Linked DNA regions of Canis lupus familiaris. The protein of the gene in region 3 interacts with the protein of the main gene of each other region in a biochemical or structural test. Links are inferred from orthologs where the notes say so. Each region holds a gene or a part of one and is shown on either strand. Other genes may lie near its edges. The genes, in order: MAPK7, CHEK2 and PML.

Region 1 (2,690 bases), on a different chromosome or scaffold from region 3:
TGTTGAGATGCCCAGTCCCTGGGCTCCCAGCGGGGACTGTGCCATGGAGTCACCTCCACCAGCTCCACCGCCGTGTCCTGGCCCTGCACCTGACACCATTGATCTGACCCTGCAACCACCCCTGCCAGCTAGTGAACCAGCCCCTCCGAAGAAGGAGGGTGCCATCTCAGACAACACCAAGGCAGCCCTCAAAGCCGCCCTGCTCAAGTCCTTGCGGAGCCGGCTCCGAGGTGCCTTGCGGAGGCAGCAGCTGGCCAGGGAGCGGGGTTGCAGAGGGGTACTCCCAGTTTGGACAGGCCGCAGACTCTTATCTTCTCCCTGCCAACTTCTCTGCAGATGGCCCCAGTGCTCCTCTGGAAGCTCCTGAGCCTCGAAAGCCGGTGACTGCCCAGGAGCGTCAGCGGGAGCGGGAGGAGAAGCGGCGGAGGCGGCAAGAGCGAGCCAAGGAGCGGGAGAAGCGGCGGCAGGAGCGGGAACGCAAGGAGCGGGGGGCCGGGACCTCTGGGGGTCCGTCCACCGATCCCCTGGCTGGGCTGGTGCTCAGTGACAATGACCGCAGCCTGCTGGAGCGCTGGACTCGCATGGCCCGGCCCGCAGCCCCCACAGCAGCCCCAGCCCCAGCCCATGCCCCAGTCCCAGCACCCGCCCCAGCTCAGCCCAGCAGTCCTCCTGCTGCCCCCCCACCAAAACCAGCAGGCTCCCCCACTGGTCCTGTACCGCAGCCTGCTTGCCCAGCCCCTGGGCCTGCTCCTCACCCCGCCAGCCCTCCGGGGCCTGTCCCTGGCCCAGCTCCACTCCAGACTGCCACCCCTAGCCTCCTGGCTCCCCCTGCACTTGTGCCACCCTCTGGGCTGCCTGGCCCCGGTGCCGTAGCTGTGCTGCCTTACTTCCCATCTGGCCCGCCCCCTCCAGAGCCCGGAGGGGCCCCTCAGCCCTCCACCTCAGAATCCCCCGACGTCAACCTGGTCACTCAGCAGCTGTCCAAGTCACAGGTGAGAGGCTGTGGAGAAACCTGGATCTGGGCCCAGGGAAAATGGGTTTGAGAAGTCCTTGCTGTTTGGTGGGGGCGGGGGGACAGGAGAGGCTTCAGTGTACCTTTATTCCATGAAAACTGAGTGGCAAATGGGGTTTTATCTCTGAACTTGTCATCTTGCTCTTAGAAGGAGCTCAATGCCAACGAACCGGTTGGGAGATGACTAAGATGCTTCCTAAGTTATGCCTGGTCTGCAGACAGGCCCTTGACTGGCACTCAGCAATTGTCCAGGCTGGTGCTGTCCCCAACGGCTGTCCAGGCAGAGTCACTGACAGGGTCGGGACAGAGTTGCGGGATAACCTCTGTCTGCTCTTGATACTGCCTGTGTTGTAACCTGCTGTCGCCTGTTGCAGGTGGAGGACCCCTTGCCCCCAGTCTTCTCGGGCACTCCAAAGGGCAGTGGGGCCGGCTATGGTGTTGGCTTTGACCTGGAGGAATTCCTAAACCAGTCTTTTGACATGGGAGTGGCTGACGGGCCACAGGATGGGTAAGATGGCTGGACCAAGCTTCTGGAATGGGCCTGTGGGTAGGGTTTCCTGGTGCAGGAGGAGCTTGCCTGTGGGATGGGCAAGGAGCCAGCCTAGGCTAACAGGGCCTCTCCCCTCCGCTCTCCCTGCTTCCCTTTTTCCTGCAGCCAGGCAGACTCAGCCTCACTCTCAGCTTCCCTGCTTGCTGACTGGCTGGAGGGCCACGGCATGAACCCTGCCGACATTGAGTCCCTGCAGCGTGAGATCCAGATGGATTCCCCGATGCTGCTGGCTGACCTGCCGGACCTCCAGGAGCCCTGAGGTCCACAGCCTGTGCCTTGCTGCCCGGGGCGGACCCAGCTACAAGACTCACAGGAACATTTCCAAGAGCTGGAGCCTTGGGCCCAGCAGTGGAAACTCAGCTTCGATTATTCTGCAGGTTCATCTCAGACACACTGCAGCCTTAAGCAGCCACCTGAGCCACCGCCAAGCCACGGCAGGATCAGGAAACCTCTACTCCCTGAGCGATCCTTTTCAGTATTGTATTTTTATTATAATTATTATTATTATATTAATATTGTGACGCCATTTCTTTGCCATCAAAATGAGCCCTGTGAAATATAAGATTCCCTTTAGGGCCTAACTCTAGGTGTCTTTTTAGAGTTGAGGTCAGGGTGTTGTCAGTAGGGGAGCAAGGAGGAGCCAGGTTCTTGTATTTGAGACCCAAGCAAACACGATTGCATGCACGACAGACAGCCAAAGCCAGTTCATTCAGATCCTGAGCTTTATTGAGATCTTCACTCCCCACCTGCTTACAGCCCCTCAGAGGTTGTCCTCTGCCCACCCCCTACCCCCCCACCATGTTCAGACCTCAACTCTAGGGCCGGTGGGGGGACCTGGTATCTATGCCTACCTTGACTGTAGCTGTTTTTAGAGTGGCGTGCAGTAGCTGTGGTGACATACGGATTTAGCATTGAGCTTTGGGGGGCTGGGACAGGCGGGTGGGAGCAGCAGAGTAGGGCCATGAGGTGGGGGTGGGGGTCCATGGTGCTCCCCACTAGGGAATGAGTTGTGGGAGGGAGGCCAAGGATGGGGAGATGCTCTGAGGACAGTGGGGGGGCATGCTGGGGTGTGGCAGCGATGGCCACGCACGGGTGGCCTGGCATCCACGACGCCAGCTCAGTCTAGCA
Region 2 (4,135 bases), on a different chromosome or scaffold from region 3:
GCTTCCTTCGTTCCATTTTTCAACACCTTTACACTCTGGAATCATTCCTGAAGTGTCTTGAGCTTTCTGCTACAACTATCTGTAACTGTGTTTGTGAACAATTAAAATATTATACAATATATCAAACAGTCTTACCAAGATTGGGGAATCCATCCTGAAGGGCCCATAATCGAGCCCAAGGGGCAGGGACAGGCTCTTCAGGTTCCTGGTCCTCAGGAATAGAACAGAGTTCCTGGGTGGACACTGTGTCTAAGGAGCTCAGGGTCCCTGAGCTGGAGTGAGACGACTGGCTAGATGTGGGTGCTGTGCTGGTGGAGCTGGATGTGCCCTGAGAGTGTGAGGAGGAGCCGTGTGTCTGCGAGGAGATGCCTTGAGACTGTGAGAAAGTGCCTTGGGACTGCGAACAAGCACCACTGCCATGGGACTGCTGACACTCCACATCCGTCTCCCGAGACATCACGACCTCAAAAATAAGTGTTCAATAATAAGGTAAGTTTCAAGGAACAAGACTTGAAGTTCAAAAGTAAAGAATGGGCAGGGGGGGATCCCTGGGTGGCGCAGCAGTTTGGCGCCTGCTGTTGGCCCAGGGCGCAATCCTGGAGACCCGGGATCGAATCCCACATTGGGCTCCCGGTGCATGGAGCCTGCTTCTCCCTCTGCCTGTGTCTCTGCCTCTCTCTCTCCCTCCCTCTCTCTCTCTCTGTGACTATCATAAATAAATAAAAATTTTTTTAAAAATTAAAAAAAAAAAAAAAGAATGGGCAGGGGCGCCTGGATGGGTCAGTTGGTTAAGCATCAACTCCTGAGTTCAGCTCAAGTCCTAATCTCAGGGTCATGAGATGAGCCCTGCAGCATGCCGGCTCTGGGCATGGAGCCTGCTTGGGATTCTCTCTCTCCCTCTCCCTCTGCCCCTCCACTTCCCCACCCCCATGCAAGGGCTATCTCTCTCTCTCTCAAAAAAAAAAAAAAAAAAGTGAAGGATGGGCAAATTTACATCAGGAAAAAAAAATTCAGAGCAAGCATGTTCTGCAAAAGTTAAAATTCTTTTTTTTTTTTTTTAAAGTTAAAATTCTAAGTCTAGATTGATCTACAGTTCTTCTGAGATGAGCTTTTCATTATATCACTTTCACTGGATCATTTTTCTGTTATGACAGCCACAAATCACAGGGAAAAGAAAGAAATTATTTGAAGTTTATAAATAAGTTAAAAGAAATGAACTAAATTAGGGGTGGAAGACTCATAACAGCTTATATTCATCTAATTTTTAAAAACTAGAAATGAAACCTAAAAGATATTCATTAATACAATCAACACTACACTTAAATTTCATGTTTTGGAACAAGAAAGAAGGGGGAGGGCCATGTGGCTTGGGGGTAGAAGATAGCAAAGAGAAACTATAATTCACTGCACCTTGCCAGGGGTGACCATTTACATAAAATATCAGATACCCCTCCTCCCCCAAGCCTGCCCCAGGATGATGAAGACCACATCCTGTTTGTTCACTCTAGATTCCCTGACTCCTAACTAAAGGCCAGCCTATTAATGAAGCACATCACAAAGAAGACTACTCTAAACAACTCCACCTAGCCCTTTGTTATGCTGAGTAACCATAAGGGCACACCTTTTCAGCATCCTAAATGGCCTTCTAGCCCTTAGGATTTTGTAGAATCCTACAGAAAAAAATTGGAGTCACAGGAGACCTTGACAGGTTCCCACCCCCACTTTAGAATTAATTTGATGGACTGTTAAATTCTGATAACAGAAACTACAGTAAAGTCAAAGTAACAGTCGATCCTTAACTTTAAATTTCTAATCTGATTTTTATAAAGGGGGGGGGGGGGGAGTGCATTGTCTCTTCTCTCCAGATACCCATACTCAGGCTATTCCTCCAAGGAGAACATAGTAGACATTACTCACATTGACTGCATTTATACAGCTTTCTAGATACAAAGATCCTGATGACTTTTTCTTAAACCACACCAGGAAGATGATGCCAGAGCTGAGTGTGCCACTCCAGGACCTCGTGCTTTAATACTACTACCTCAGTCAAGGGTGCAATCTTTCACAGCTTTTTGAGCAAAACTTCTCTGCCCTGAGAACTGGCAAAAGACTGTCAAGAAGTGGCTATTATCCTCGCTTACCTTAATGGTCCAGCAAACGAAAACCACACTAGCCTCAGCGATGAGGAGAAAGTATATAGAAAGATTAGAGACAAGTCTGGAGTCAGATGCCTGACTCAAAGCTCTGCAGGATCTTCAGGTAGATCACAACTTCACTAGGTAGAGAGATCTTGAGGATTAAATGAGATGATATAGGAATGTTCTTCCTCCGGTACTGCTCGATAGTTGGGAGAATATAATTCCAGTCCCAAAGAATACGACAGCGGAAAGGGGTTGATAAGTGCAACGCATTTTTTTTTTTTCCGAATAGAGAAACTGAGTCCCAGGGTGGGCTGGTGCCCTCCTACCCTTTCTTATCCCACACACTCACTTATGGACACTCGCAGGGCATCCTCCTACACAAGTCAGTGTGCCCCAGTTCCTGCAGCGCCCAGCTGCTAAGATTGAGTTCTCAACAGGTTTTTTTCGAAATTGAATCTAAAATATGGTAATAATTGCTACCATTTATATAACTCTTTACAAAGCAACGACTGGCTAGATCAAAATCAGTTACCCTCTGATTTTGAAGAACACAACTTCGTCCTTTCTCATCCTGCACGTCTGGGCCAGTTTCAGCTTGTAAGTAACAGGGGAAGTGAACTTCACTTCGAAGTTCATCTACAAAGGAAGACAGTCGCCCACACATTCCTCTCCTCACCCTAACCGAGGTCAAAAAACGCACAAAGTGGAAACTCGGGAGGTTCGGCGCGGATTAAGACCCTGGGGACGGGACTCGAACCCCCCAACACCCAGGAGAAGTTCCCCACTACGACTCACCGCGTGAGCCCACCTAGAGCCAACACTCACAGCAGCTACATCCAAGCAGAGTGGCGCTAACCAAGCACATACAAACTCCACCCTCAGCCAATCAAAACACCCCGCCTTCGCCGCCGGACCAATGAAGAGCAGCGGATGTGGCCGTCCACACGTAGCCTCAATGCTTGCTGGGAGTTGTAGTTTAAAATGAGGAGCGGGACACTCCGAGTCCAGGTTCCCCTCCTCCCGCCCCCACCGGGTGATCCCGCCCCGTCAGCTCCCCCAGCCAATCAGCAGCACTAGTCTGCTCAGTCGCTCTCCATCTCTCTCTCCCGGTCCCCCCCCGCCCCAGGCGCCCGCGGCGACCTAGGCCGCGGCCAGATGTGGGGCGGGAGGACCGGCGCCTTGCTCCGGGTGTGCGGGCTGTGGCCGGCAGGGGCCCTCGGAAGGAGACCGCTGAGCTGCGATGCTGCGTCTCTGGCGGGGAGCGGTTCCTCCCAGTGTTGGAACTGCGGCGGCCCCGGGGGCCCCACGCGGGGGGACGGGTTCTTCTGCCCACAGTGCCGCGCGCTGCAGCCGCCTGACCCCACTCGAGATTACTTCAGCCTCATGGACTGGTACGGGAGGCGGTTTCGGGAAACGCGCGAACGAGAGAGGCGTGGGCCGGCCTGCGAGGGGCTAGGGCCGAGAGTGCCTGGGGAGGAGAGGGCGGGACCGGTTAGCCTGGTGGGCGGAGCCGTAGAGAAGGGGGGTGGGGCCCGGGAGCGCCGGGGTGGGATTGCGGCCCGTGCCACAGGAAATTGAGGGGTGGGACTGAGCTTGGGGCCTCAGGAGTGGAGACCCGAATGGCGGGAGGGGAGGGGGGGAAGGCGTTTAGGGGGTCTGAAAGGTGGAGGCTTCGGTGGAGGGAGACCTGGGGGGGGTGCCTGACGGAAGCGACCTGGAGGGGCTGGAGAAAGACTTGAGCGACAGGGCCAGAATGGTTAAAGTTGGGTTGAGACTTATAAGAAAGGGGTACTTAGGTGTTATCAAGAGAAGGGAGTAGGGGGGCACCTGGGTGGCTCAGCGGTTGAGCATCTGCCTTTGGCTCAGGGCGTGATCCTGGGGTCCTGGGATCGAGTCCTACATCGGGCTCCCTGCAGGGAGCCTGCATCTCCCTCTGACTGTGTGTCTGCCCCTGTGTGTTTGTGTGTGTGTGTGTGTGTCTCATGAACAAATAA
Region 3 (3,649 bases):
GCGCGTCGCGCAGGAAGCCGTGCATGTCCAGCACCTCCTGGTCCGAGGCGTAGAGCTTCATCCTGCGCACCAGCGCGCTCCCCGTGCGGATGCGCTGCAGCACGGCCTCCAGGCGGCCCATGCGGCCCGCCAGCTCCTCGTAGCAGCGCTGGTACCGCGCCGTGACCCCCGCGAGCAGCTCCTGCTCCCGCGCCAGCACGTGCTCCACCAGCTGGCGCACCCGTGCGTGGATCAGCGCCTCGGTGTCGGCGCGCGCGCGGCCCAGCTGGCTGACGGCCGAGTGCATCTGCGCGTGCGCCGCCCCGAAGGCGCCGTCCTGCTCCTGCAGCACCCGGGCCATGGTGTCCAGCTCCTCCTGGCGCTGCTGGATCTCCGCGCTGATGTCGCACTTGAGCTCGCCGTGGCTGCTGTCCAGGAGCGCGCACGAGCAGCACAGCGGCTTGGAGCAGCCTCGGCAGTAGATGCTGCGGACACACGAGGCCGGCGCGGTTGAGGGCTCTCCTGCGCCCCCCCCCCGCCCCCCAGCTCTCCTAGGGAGACTCCCCTTCGAGGGTGACCTCGAATCGTGGCATGTTCCCCGGTTCCGTCTGTGGCCAGCGCGATGGTGTCCAAACCACCAATAAAGCATTAGCACAGGGAAAGGTACTGAGGTTCCAACCGCTGGCCTCCACCCAGCCTCCACCCAGCCTCCAGCTAGCCTCCACCCAGCCTCCAGCTAGCCTCCACCCAGCCTCCACCCAGCCTCCAGCTAGCCTCCACCCAGCCTCCACCCAGCCTCCCCCTAGCCTCCACCCAGCCTCCAGCTAGCCTCCACCCAGCCTCCAGCTAGCCTCCACACACACAGGGGATCAGTGCTTCACACACTTCTGAACTTCCTTTCCCTTCCTGCGAGCAACCAGATGAGCGTCCGGATGCCTCCTTCCAGCCCTCTGTCTGCTTTAAACCACTTTGCACAGATAGCCAGGCTATGCAGCTGCTCGAAAGGATCTTAAGGAGCTGAGGCGACGCATCCCGTGTAATCCTCACTAGAGTTTCAGAGGCGAGGAGAGCTACCGTTACCCTCATTTCACAGGTGAAGAAACAGAGGCCCTCAGAGGTTAAATAATTGCCCCAAGTATCTACAACAATTCTAGTAGGTTGATACTTGGTTTACAAGAAGGATCATGCTACAAATGAGATCATGAGTCATGACTCTGTAACTTCCTCCTCTAATTTAACTTTTGCTTAGGACAACATTCCTGGAGGTCTGATGAGTATGGGTCTAACGTATTCTCTTTAAAAGCTCCCTGAAAGGGGATCCCTGGGTGGCTCAGTGGTTCAGTGCCTGCCTTTGGCCCAGGGCGTGATCCTGGAGTCCCGGGATCCAGTCCCGCGTTGGGCTCCCAGCATGGGGCCTGCTTCCCCCTCTGCCTGTGTCTGCCTCTCTCTCTCTCATGGTCTATCATGAATAAATAAATAAAATATTAAAAAAAAAAAAGCTCCCTTAAATTCCATGTGTACCACAACTGATCCAGTCAGTCTCCCGTTATGGACAATCCAGTGATTTCCTATTTGTACTCCCCCCGCCCCTTAATGCCAATATGGACAATGTTAGGCCGCTTTATGTGGCCTAACGCGTCTTCTGTTCTATGAAATAGGTTACAAATGATAGGAGTGCTAAATCAAACCGTATGCATGCTTTTAGTTATTTAATATATTTTAGCTAGCAGACACTTCTATGGCATTATTATAAACACTTGAGGAATATCAACCCTTTTAATCCTCCTAACAGTCCTACAGAGTAGGAATTATTATATCTTCATTTTTTTAAAAAAGATTTTATTATTTTACTCATGAGAGACACAGAGAGAGGCAGAGACACAGGTAGAGGGAGAAGCAGGCTCCATGCAGGGAGCCCGACGCGGGACTCGATCCTGGGTCTCCAGGATCACACCCTGGGCTGAAGGCAGCGCTAAACCGTTGAACTACCTGGGCTGCCCTTATATCTTCATTTTATTTTATTTTATTTTATTTTATTTTATTTTTTTAAATTTTTATTTATTTATAATAGTCACACACACAGAGAGAGAGAGAGAGAGAGGCAGAGACACAGGCAGAGGGAGAAGCAGGCTCCATGCACCGGGAGCCCAACGTGGGATTCGATCCCGGGTCTTCAGGATCACGCCCTGGGCCAAAGGCAGGCGCCAAACCGCTGCGCCACCCAGGGATCCCTATATCCTCATTTTAATGATGGGGAACCTGAACAAGAGGTACAATGACTTGTCCAAGGTGACACAATTAGTGAGTGATAGACTCTAGAGACAAACTGTAGTAGGCAGAAAATGTACTAATAATCCCCAGAACCTGTGTATGTTACCTTATATGATGGCAAGGACTTAGTACATGTGATTAAGTTAAGGATCCGGGATGGGAAGATTATCTTGGATTATCTGGGTGGACCCAGTATAATCACGAGGGTCCTTATAAGGAAAATAGAGGGGGAAGCAGGCAGGCGTGAGGAAGAAGATTTGATCATGGAAGCAGAGGTCTCATGATGCTATCCTGCTGGCTTTGAAGATGGACCGGGGTCATGAACCAAGGCAGCCCCTAGAAGTTGGAAAAGGCAAGAAGACAGATTCTCCCCAAGAGCCTCCAGAAGGAACACGGCCCTACTGACACCTTGATTTTATCTCAGTGAAACCCGTTTCAGGCTTCTGACCTCCAGAGGTACATAATAATAACAACTTTGTGATATTTCGCTATACCTTTCTCTTCCTACCATCTTGGGGCCTGTGGAGGCTTTTTTTTCCTTTTTTTTTAAAGATCTTATTTATTTATTCATGAGAGATACACAGAGAGAGGCAGAGGGAGATACACAATGTAGGCAGAGAGAGAAGCAGGCTCCTCGCAGGGAGCCTGATGTGGGACTCGATCCCAGCACCAGGACCATGCCCTGAGCCAAAGGCAAACGCTCAACTGCTGAGCCACCCAGCCGTCCCAGGGCCTGTGGACGCTTGCTGGGAACAGGACTCTTAGAATGACAAGTATGTCCACAGGGCTGTGGTGCTAGGCCGTGTTTGCTGGCTATACGTGGGGTTTCCAGAACCAGAGGGAGCACACAGATCTTCTTAAAATTGAAGGTGTTTATGCGTGAGATGAAACTGAATTCCATCCAGGCAAGAGCTATGCTTACGTGAACAAAGCAAAGAACAACAGGGTGACTCCCGGTGGCAAAACAAACCAAACCAGAGTAGTCTGGGGAGAAGCAATTCATGCTTGTGGAAGCAGTGGCATGGTTCATGCCAAATTCCCAAGCAACCTTCCTGCTAAAGCCATTGGTCATAGAATTCATGTGATGCTGTACCCCTCAAGAATTTAAACTTACAAGTAAATACATAAAGGTGTAGAAAAGAAAATCAATTTGTAATGTTTTAAGCTCCCAAATTTGCAGTAATTTGTTACAGCAGCCATAGGAAACTACCATAAAACCCCAGGCAGTCTGGCTCAAGTCCATGGTCTCAAACACTCCAATGCTGCCTCTTCCAACACTCCCAGGAAAATACTGTTAGTCATTTCCCCAGAAATATTGCTGTAATTTGTTCTCACTAGCAACGATAGCCCACCTGAGGCCAGGAGAAAGGATCTTAGCTGGAGCCACTTTGGCCTCCGT

Evidence for each region.
Region 1: the proteins of PML (region 3) and MAPK7 form a complex in vitro, tested with the Homo sapiens proteins (2 studies listed by BioGRID and IntAct, with this or other methods). The link is inferred for Canis lupus familiaris from reciprocal best matches to the Homo sapiens genes PML and MAPK7.
Region 2: the proteins of PML (region 3) and CHEK2 form a complex in vitro, tested with the Homo sapiens proteins (2 studies listed by BioGRID, with this or other methods). The link is inferred for Canis lupus familiaris from reciprocal best matches to the Homo sapiens genes PML and CHEK2.

Annotation. Positions count from the first base shown.
Region 1 is NC_049226.1:41,046,147-41,048,836, reverse strand, and holds the end of MAPK7 (mitogen-activated protein kinase 7), read left to right. Parts: coding exon 1-230; intron 231-336; coding exon 337-992; intron 993-1,386; coding exon 1,387-1,520; intron 1,521-1,667; coding exon 1,668-1,821; 3' UTR 1,822-2,075; downstream 2,076-2,690. UniProt on the Homo sapiens protein: Plays a role in various cellular processes such as proliferation, differentiation and cell survival. The upstream activator of MAPK7 is the MAPK kinase MAP2K5.
Region 2 is NC_049247.1:22,510,084-22,514,218, forward strand, and holds the start of CHEK2 (serine/threonine-protein kinase Chk2), read right to left. Parts: upstream 2,900-4,135; 5' UTR 2,806-2,899; coding exon 2,674-2,805; intron 2,587-2,673; exon of another isoform or gene 2,142-2,586; intron 464-2,141; coding exon 136-463; intron 1-135. Other genes in the region: iron-sulfur cluster co-chaperone protein HscB, read left to right, coding at 3,297-3,532. UniProt on the Homo sapiens protein: Serine/threonine-protein kinase which is required for checkpoint-mediated cell cycle arrest, activation of DNA repair and apoptosis in response to the presence of DNA double-strand breaks.
Region 3 is NC_049251.1:37,693,885-37,697,533, reverse strand, and holds part of PML (protein PML), read right to left. Parts: intron 3,359-3,649; exon of another isoform or gene 3,026-3,358; intron 465-3,025; coding exon 1-464.